Linked DNA regions of Zea mays. The protein of the gene in region 1 binds, or shares a complex with, the protein of each later gene. Links are inferred from orthologs where the notes say so. Each region holds a gene or a part of one and is shown in the gene's direction. Other genes may lie near its edges.

Region 1 (3,998 bases):
GGCGGATCTAGGAGGGGGGCTGTAGCTCCGGTCGCCCCCCATAATATCTATTTTATGACGTGTCTTAATAATATATACTTCATCTATTTTAAAATAGTAGTTATCATTTTAGGAAAATAGCAGGTTTATATAATTTTTGATTAAAACATGTGTTTTATATATGTGTCTAGATTCATGATCATCTATTTAAATATAGACATAAAAATTAAGAGCTAAAAGGCAACTATTTTGAAACGTAAGAGTATATTATAATATAAATACAACCTATAAAGGGTAACTAAGATATGCCACAATCTTCTTTCTGATCGTGTCATTCAGCACATGTATTTGGCCTCCATCTGTGACACCAGCACGCTAGGTGGTAGCGCGCGCATCCACGCTGGACCCCGTCCATGCTTCAGCAGTGTAAATCCACGCTATCACATAGGACGTAGTCATGAGCTAGCGCGTACGGCCAATGCACATCTAACAGTTAGCAGCGCGCATGTACCCAACGCAAGGGGCAGGCTGCAAGCCAAGGGCGACGGTAGGGGGGACACGGGAGCAATGTCCCCCCTAATTCTATAGGACATGTTAGTTTTTAGCTAATTCTCATGTAAATAGTGCAAAAAATGCTTCTAACAACCCCTTATTCTAATCTGGTCTCCCTAATTTTGGATCCTGGCTTCGCCCCTACTGCAAGCAGCACCATAACAGATCTGTTGTAACACGCTAGTACATCAGGCCTGCGAGAATGTTCCAAGATAACCGCTGGTGACTCCATCAAACATACTTTAACTTATAGCCCCTACTCTGATTCAATCGCAGATCCGACACGCCCGAAATAACGACCTTGCCAACCCAAAATTCAATCGGACTAGGCCTGTTTGGTTCAGCTTTTTTCTGACCAACTTTTCTGAAAATCTGGTTGTGGGGAGAATCTGGCTGTGGGGAGAATATGAGTATTATTACGATTACGTGTGGAGGAAGATAAAATTGTTCATAGGGTTCAGAATCTAGAAAGTGACGGATTCCTACTATTACAACGACTCAACCGATTATGTGTTTATGTTGATTTGGATGGTTTTTGCCCCCAACAAATTTTATAGAAGCTGGATGAAAAACTGAGCGTTTGGCAGTCCGCAGCAGCTTTTGGTGGCTAGAAGCTTCCAGAAGCCGAAACGCTTGAACCGGCCGCCCCGAGCACGAATGTACACCTATCCGAGTCCACCCAACTAATCACGCCCAATCAGAACAGACTCGGTCGCTTCACCACTCCACTCGCCGCAGGCCGCCGGGCGCCGCCGAGGGGATCGGAGCAAGATGTTCTTCCACATCGTGCTGGAGCGGAACATGCAGCTGCACCCACGACACTTCGGGCCGCACCTCCGCGACAAGCTCGTTTCCAAGCTCATCAAGGACGTCGAGGGCACCTGCAGGTAGGGTTTCCCATCCCTTCCTAAACCTGGCTAAGGCTACGAGGTGGAGGGCGGCGCTGAGATGGCTTGCGGGTTTCTCTCGCTCTTTCCTTTCAGCGGGCGGCACGGGTTCGTTGTGGCGATCACGGGTGTGGAGGACATCGGCAAGGGGCTCATCCGGGAAGGCACGGGATACGTCACCTTCCCCGTCAAGTACCAGTGCGTTGTCTTTAGACCCTTCAAGGGCGAGATCCTCGAAGCTGTCGTCACCATGGTGAACAAGGTGGGTGCCTAGTTGCCTCCCCGCTCGGGCTGTGCTTGCTTCGTTCGAATTGGATGTGAATTGGAGTGCTGGTTGGCTGGGTGGTGATGATCTTGGTGTTGGAGAATGTGATTGCCAGGATTGGTTTGGTATTTAAACTTTGTGTGTTATTGACTCTGGCACTCTGCAGATGGGCTTCTTTGCGGAGGCTGGGCCGGTGCAGATCTTCGTGTCCAACCATGTGAGTGATTCTGCCTTGTTTGGAGCTGCTTCATAGTCAAAGTGTTGAATGCTAAAGAAATTTCAGAATTCTTTCTGGCCATTCTAGGAATTATGCTCTGCTTACTCGCTCCTTTAGTCCTTTATCACTTCCATAAATATACATGGCTGCCTTTTGTCACAGGATACTAGCATAGACATCTTGTTTAAACTTCAATTAATTAATGTCAGTCAGTACTGTTTTGATGAGTAATGTTTTTCCTCTGAGCTATCAATTGCAATGCAGTTGATTCCAGACGATATGGAGTTCCAATCAGGAGATGTGCCGAACTACACAACTTCTGATGGATCGGTATGTCACTTTTCTATATATTTAAGTAGTGTTGAGTTTTCTCATTATCTGTAACTTCTGCAGAAGAATATGACATTTAGGACAAGTTAATTAGTTAAAAATGACCTTAAAACATCATATATTTAAAAACACAGGGTATATAACTTTTTAATCTCATCGAGTTTGCAGTAAGCACAAACTATATTTATGATTCATTGGATTATTGCTTTCTCATATGCTTTGCTAACTGTAACTCTTGAGGATTTTGGTGATATTTTGAAAAGTTTTTGTAAAAAATATATCTATATGCTAAATCTGCAAGTTGCATCAATGATTCAATATGTGGCTGCATTTGAATATATTTTTAAAAAGAGAGTACGTTTGGGTATTGGGTATCATGGTGAGTCACAATTGTTCCTTTCAAAGAATCCTTGATGCAGTCATTTTGCTGTGCTCATGGGTAGTTGCTTGTTTGTTTACTCAGGTGAAAATTCAAAAAGAGAGTGAGGTGCGGCTGAAGATTATTGGTACTCGTGTCGATGCTACAGAAATTGTAAGCTTATTACTGTTTACATTGTTTACAGTAAAATCCAACTTTGAATGCTCCTTTTTTTTTCTTTCAAATTTTGAGTATAGGCCTGAACATGGCAACCACATCACAAGTTCTATGGTGCCACTGAATGGTTGCATTTTTTCCGACGACATTATGTGAATGCAGAACATTTTGCAGTCACTTTTCTCATATTCTTTTCTAAGATTGTATGAGCAAAGGACTTATGCCTAGTAACCTTGATTAATGCCATATTAATCAGCTATGAACGCAGGATTGTGCTGTTCTTTTACCACATAAAAAAGTGATGTTCCGTCCTGTATCTTGGTTTGGAACTAACTAGGCCTTGGATACTCTAGTCTCGTACCCTCGTTTAGCACTAGCCTAGAAGATTTTTATATGCCTTACATCTTCTTGTGCCAAGAACTTATTGTTTATCCCTCGCGAAAAGCATATTAGATAGCTGAAGGGATATTTTCATTACAAAACTTCATTGTGCATTTGAATTCATACTTAGTGCCTTGTTATAAGTTCAATGCTGTACTTGTTCAATGTTCTAACGGTCTAATCTCTGCTCTTGCAGTTTTGCATTGGCACAATAAAGGATGATTTTCTGGGTGTTATCAGCGATCCTGGTGCGGCAGTGTAAATGGTCTAAGAAGCGAGATTGTACTCCATTGTTCTGACTTCTGAGTACTATCGCAGACGTGTGTAATCGCTGGTCCGTTAAAACTGCAATGGCTGTACTGACTGCGGAACTTGTTGAGAATGATGTGACTAGGACCTTGTTTAGGGCCTGTTTGGTTCTTTAGTATGGCCCTGATTGGCACAACTGCTGCTTATTGAAAAAACAGCTTATCTGATAAGCTGGTGAAAAATAGCTTCTGCTTGTTGACTGCTTTTAGTGTATTTTGAGAAGCAGCTGAACTGATAAGCTGCTGCAGAAGCTAACTGTTTGGTAAAACTTTTGCTTAAATTTGTGAAGAAGTTGAAAATAAGCTGTGCCAAACAAGGCCTATAGAGGCTAAAGTTTAGTCCCTACCTTGTTTGGTTGCATGGACTAAAAATATTCGTATTAAATGACTTGTAAGAAGACTAAAATATGCTTTAACATTCTTTTGTCGTTAGTGTAACTGAAATAAATGATGGCTAAAAGGTGGAATTAATATGATTTAGTCCCTTTTAGTTACCCTTCGAGGGATTAGAAACTAATAGTTTAGTCACTTTTACTGTTTGGCT
Region 2 (2,958 bases), on another chromosome or scaffold:
TCGGCTTCTCTAATCGTCGCTCGCCTGTTTGAGAGTGTTTACCAACATTGGTTGGCTGGGGGGAATTTTGGGAGAAGAAAAGAAAAAGGTAGATGGCAGTATTGTGGAGGACGGTGTGGTGCTTCTCCTTTCATCACGCTAGATGCTAGTGTGTGCCATGGTGGGGAGCCAATCTGAAGCCTCAGGCTGATTTCTGGTTAGTTGTGTGTTCGCCTTTCTGTGGAAGTTTTTGTTGTTGTTGTTGTTGTTGTTGTATCGACCAGATTGAGAGTTGAGTTGTAGTTCACATCAGAAGATCAGGCTTGGCAGTTCATTGGTTTTATGACTTGGATCATGTTCAGTTGCATCTTCTGGCCTTGGATCGTGGAGTCATATTCATATCCTGTACACAGAGATGCAAAATGAAGTGTCCTTATGCTGATAGCTGGATCTGTTAAGGCAGGCAGCAGAGGAAGAGATTCGGATGTAGAATGAGGTGTTGAATGTTTGCATATTGCAGCCTCAATTTTTTTTGTTGTTGATCCATACTCATAAATTTTTGAACGTTGTAGTTCTGATATTTTTGTACTTGCATCCTCAATCCTTGATTCTTCGTTGAACATATTATATTTTCGTGACATGCTTCTATGATCCTGCGATTGCGGGGGTTCGGTTAAAATAACATAATGTATGAACTAGGACTGAAATGTAGCAAGTGTTCTAAGTCAATCTCAGTATAATTTCGGCTTACATTACAGACTAAGTGGTTTGCTATCATTATATCCCTAAAAACAAAGACAAGGCAGAAATCTCTGCCATGGTCCTATACATAAGACCTGTCCAACAGCAAAATAACAAGCACGATGAGATGCTACCTAATTCAGATTCGCACAGGTGTTTGTGTAAAAATACAATTCGATGGCAGAAAATGGAACTGATTTATGACAAAAAAACATTTGGAAATAATTAATCTGATATAGAGCTGTCTACCGAAAACATTCTTTTATAGAGGTTCGCCATATATCCTAGAAAAGACAAGCTTGTTGGCTTGACTTTAATTGGTATATTTTATCTTTATGAATTATAATTAGAACAGTTCGAACAGATGGCTATGGCTTAAAGCCCCAGCGAACAGCTAATCTTATCGGCACCAAAAAGATGCAAGGAACCGAGTTATAGAGACTCGACACTGGCAGCTTACAGGAATTAGGGAAGTAGACTGCTCAATGGATGATGCACAATATCTCACCATCTGGTGATACGTACGATATGATAGGTAGGAAGCAAAAAAAAAAAAAAAAAACTCCTATTCCGAGGCCCAGCTCAGTCCACGCCGAGCATAGCCCAATCTGTAAGTTTGGACCAGAGCCCATGGCGATACGGCCCAGCACATAGGCATAGCCCTCCCGCCGTCATCCTTGGCTTCCCCGCTCCCGTCGCGACTCCAATCGCAATTCGCAATTCCCAGCCCCATTCCCCGTCGGCCGACTCCAGCGAGCGACTTCGCCCCGGTCGGAAGCACCACCAGCCACCAGCGATGTCTGGCGAGGAGGAGGAGAACGCCGCGGAGCTCAAGATCGGCGAAGGTCCATGCTCTTCCGCGCCGCCCTCCTCTCCTCTCCTCCCCTCCCTTCTCAACCACCGTCCAGTCCTTGGGCGCGCGGGCGGGCTAGGGTTTTCGTCCTCCCTCTCGATCTCACTCAGCTCACCCGTAAGCCTGTGGGCGCAGAGTTCCTCAAGGCCAAGTGCCTGATGAACTGCGAGGTGGCGATCATCCTGGAGCACAAGTACGAGCAGATCCAGCAGCACGCGTCGTCGGAGTCGGACCCGTCGTCGCAGGTGTCGCAGGTGTTCGAGAAGTCGCTGCAGTACGTGAAGCGCTTCAGCCGCTACAAGAACCCCGACGCCGTGCGCCAGGTCCGCGAGACGCTGAGCCGCTACGGCCTCGCCGAGTTCGAGCTCTGCACGCTCGGCAACCTCTGCCCCGACACCAGCGGCGAGGCCACCGCGCTCGTCCCCTCCCTCAAGTCCGGCGGCAGGTTCGTCGGCGACCCCGGGGACGAGAAGATCGAGAAGATGCTCAACGACCTCTCCCTCATCAAGAAGTTCGAGTAGAGCGGGAGCCCTCTCTTCTCTTATCTTCTTTTCTCTTGGAGTAGCGAGCATCCAGAGAGGAGGGGAATTCAACATCAAGACGATGTACTGATAAAATTTTACTTGCCTTACACTACTATCGTTGAGGTTCACGTCTGCGTATTGATTAGAACCTTGTTTGATCGATAATCCAATATACTAGTAGTATGTGTGTGGTTGATGATCTGTCTGGAATTCTACACGAGAAGCCTGCAGAGGATGAGGATCCGAGTTGGCCATGCCCTCTGTTCTTCAGCTCGAAATGTACTGATTTCCTTGCTATTGTTAAGGTTCATATTATCTTCATCCGCTTTCCATCTAGTCATGTATACATGAATTAATGGAACCTAATCGCTCGAGCACAGACACGCTTAACCTACGACTACGAACACATGTGTGGTTCAGCTATATCTCAAACTGTTTCTAGTCTGTCTACACAGACACGCTTCCATTGCGTGAATTTTAACTTTGTAGGCCTTCGATGCAAAGCACCCTTCCCCTAGGTCAGTGCTTGGATTATGTTCTGCTCTCTTCGGTTCCTTCGTGCTGTAGGACTCTTTCAAGGCAGAAATGAACGAACATCCAGTATATGTTCTTCAGTTCCTGCTCCTTCATGCTGTAGTACACTCCTTCCCAAATAGAAACCGCAGGCCCAGAACTGAAGACTCGCCGACACATCTTTTTCTTGCCGGTACTCAGGTTGGTGTTCTATGGATTAGTGGAACCTTGTTGGTTAATCAAGTTAATTAACATGTAAACTTAATTACCATTGCTATATCTAGCTCTATCACAGTGCGGACTGTTAGTATAAGCATCAAGTAGAGCACAAATCAAATTCAGTCACAA

What was found.
Region 2: DNA-directed RNA polymerase II 19 kDa polypeptide (region 1) and DNA-directed RNA polymerase II 16 kDa polypeptide share a complex: the UniProt entries of both Arabidopsis thaliana proteins name them as parts of the RNA polymerase II complex. The link is inferred for Zea mays from reciprocal best matches to the Arabidopsis thaliana genes NRPB7 and NRPB4.

Annotation. Positions count from the first base shown.
Region 1 is NC_050101.1:156,254,566-156,258,563, reverse strand, and holds DNA-directed RNA polymerase II 19 kDa polypeptide, read left to right. Parts: upstream 1-1,198; 5' UTR 1,199-1,302; coding exon 1,303-1,418; intron 1,419-1,514; coding exon 1,515-1,680; intron 1,681-1,849; coding exon 1,850-1,900; intron 1,901-2,164; coding exon 2,165-2,230; intron 2,231-2,693; coding exon 2,694-2,762; intron 2,763-3,342; coding exon 3,343-3,408; 3' UTR 3,409-3,783; downstream 3,784-3,998. UniProt on the Arabidopsis thaliana protein: DNA-dependent RNA polymerase catalyzes the transcription of DNA into RNA using the four ribonucleoside triphosphates as substrates. Component of RNA polymerase II which synthesizes mRNA precursors and many functional non-coding RNAs.
Region 2 is NC_050099.1:248,642,058-248,645,015, forward strand, and holds DNA-directed RNA polymerase II 16 kDa polypeptide, read left to right. Parts: upstream 1-1,296; 5' UTR 1,297-1,516; coding exon 1,517-1,565; intron 1,566-1,708; coding exon 1,709-2,094; 3' UTR 2,095-2,458; downstream 2,459-2,958. UniProt on the Arabidopsis thaliana protein: DNA-dependent RNA polymerase catalyzes the transcription of DNA into RNA using the four ribonucleoside triphosphates as substrates. Second largest component of RNA polymerase II which synthesizes mRNA precursors and many functional non-coding RNAs.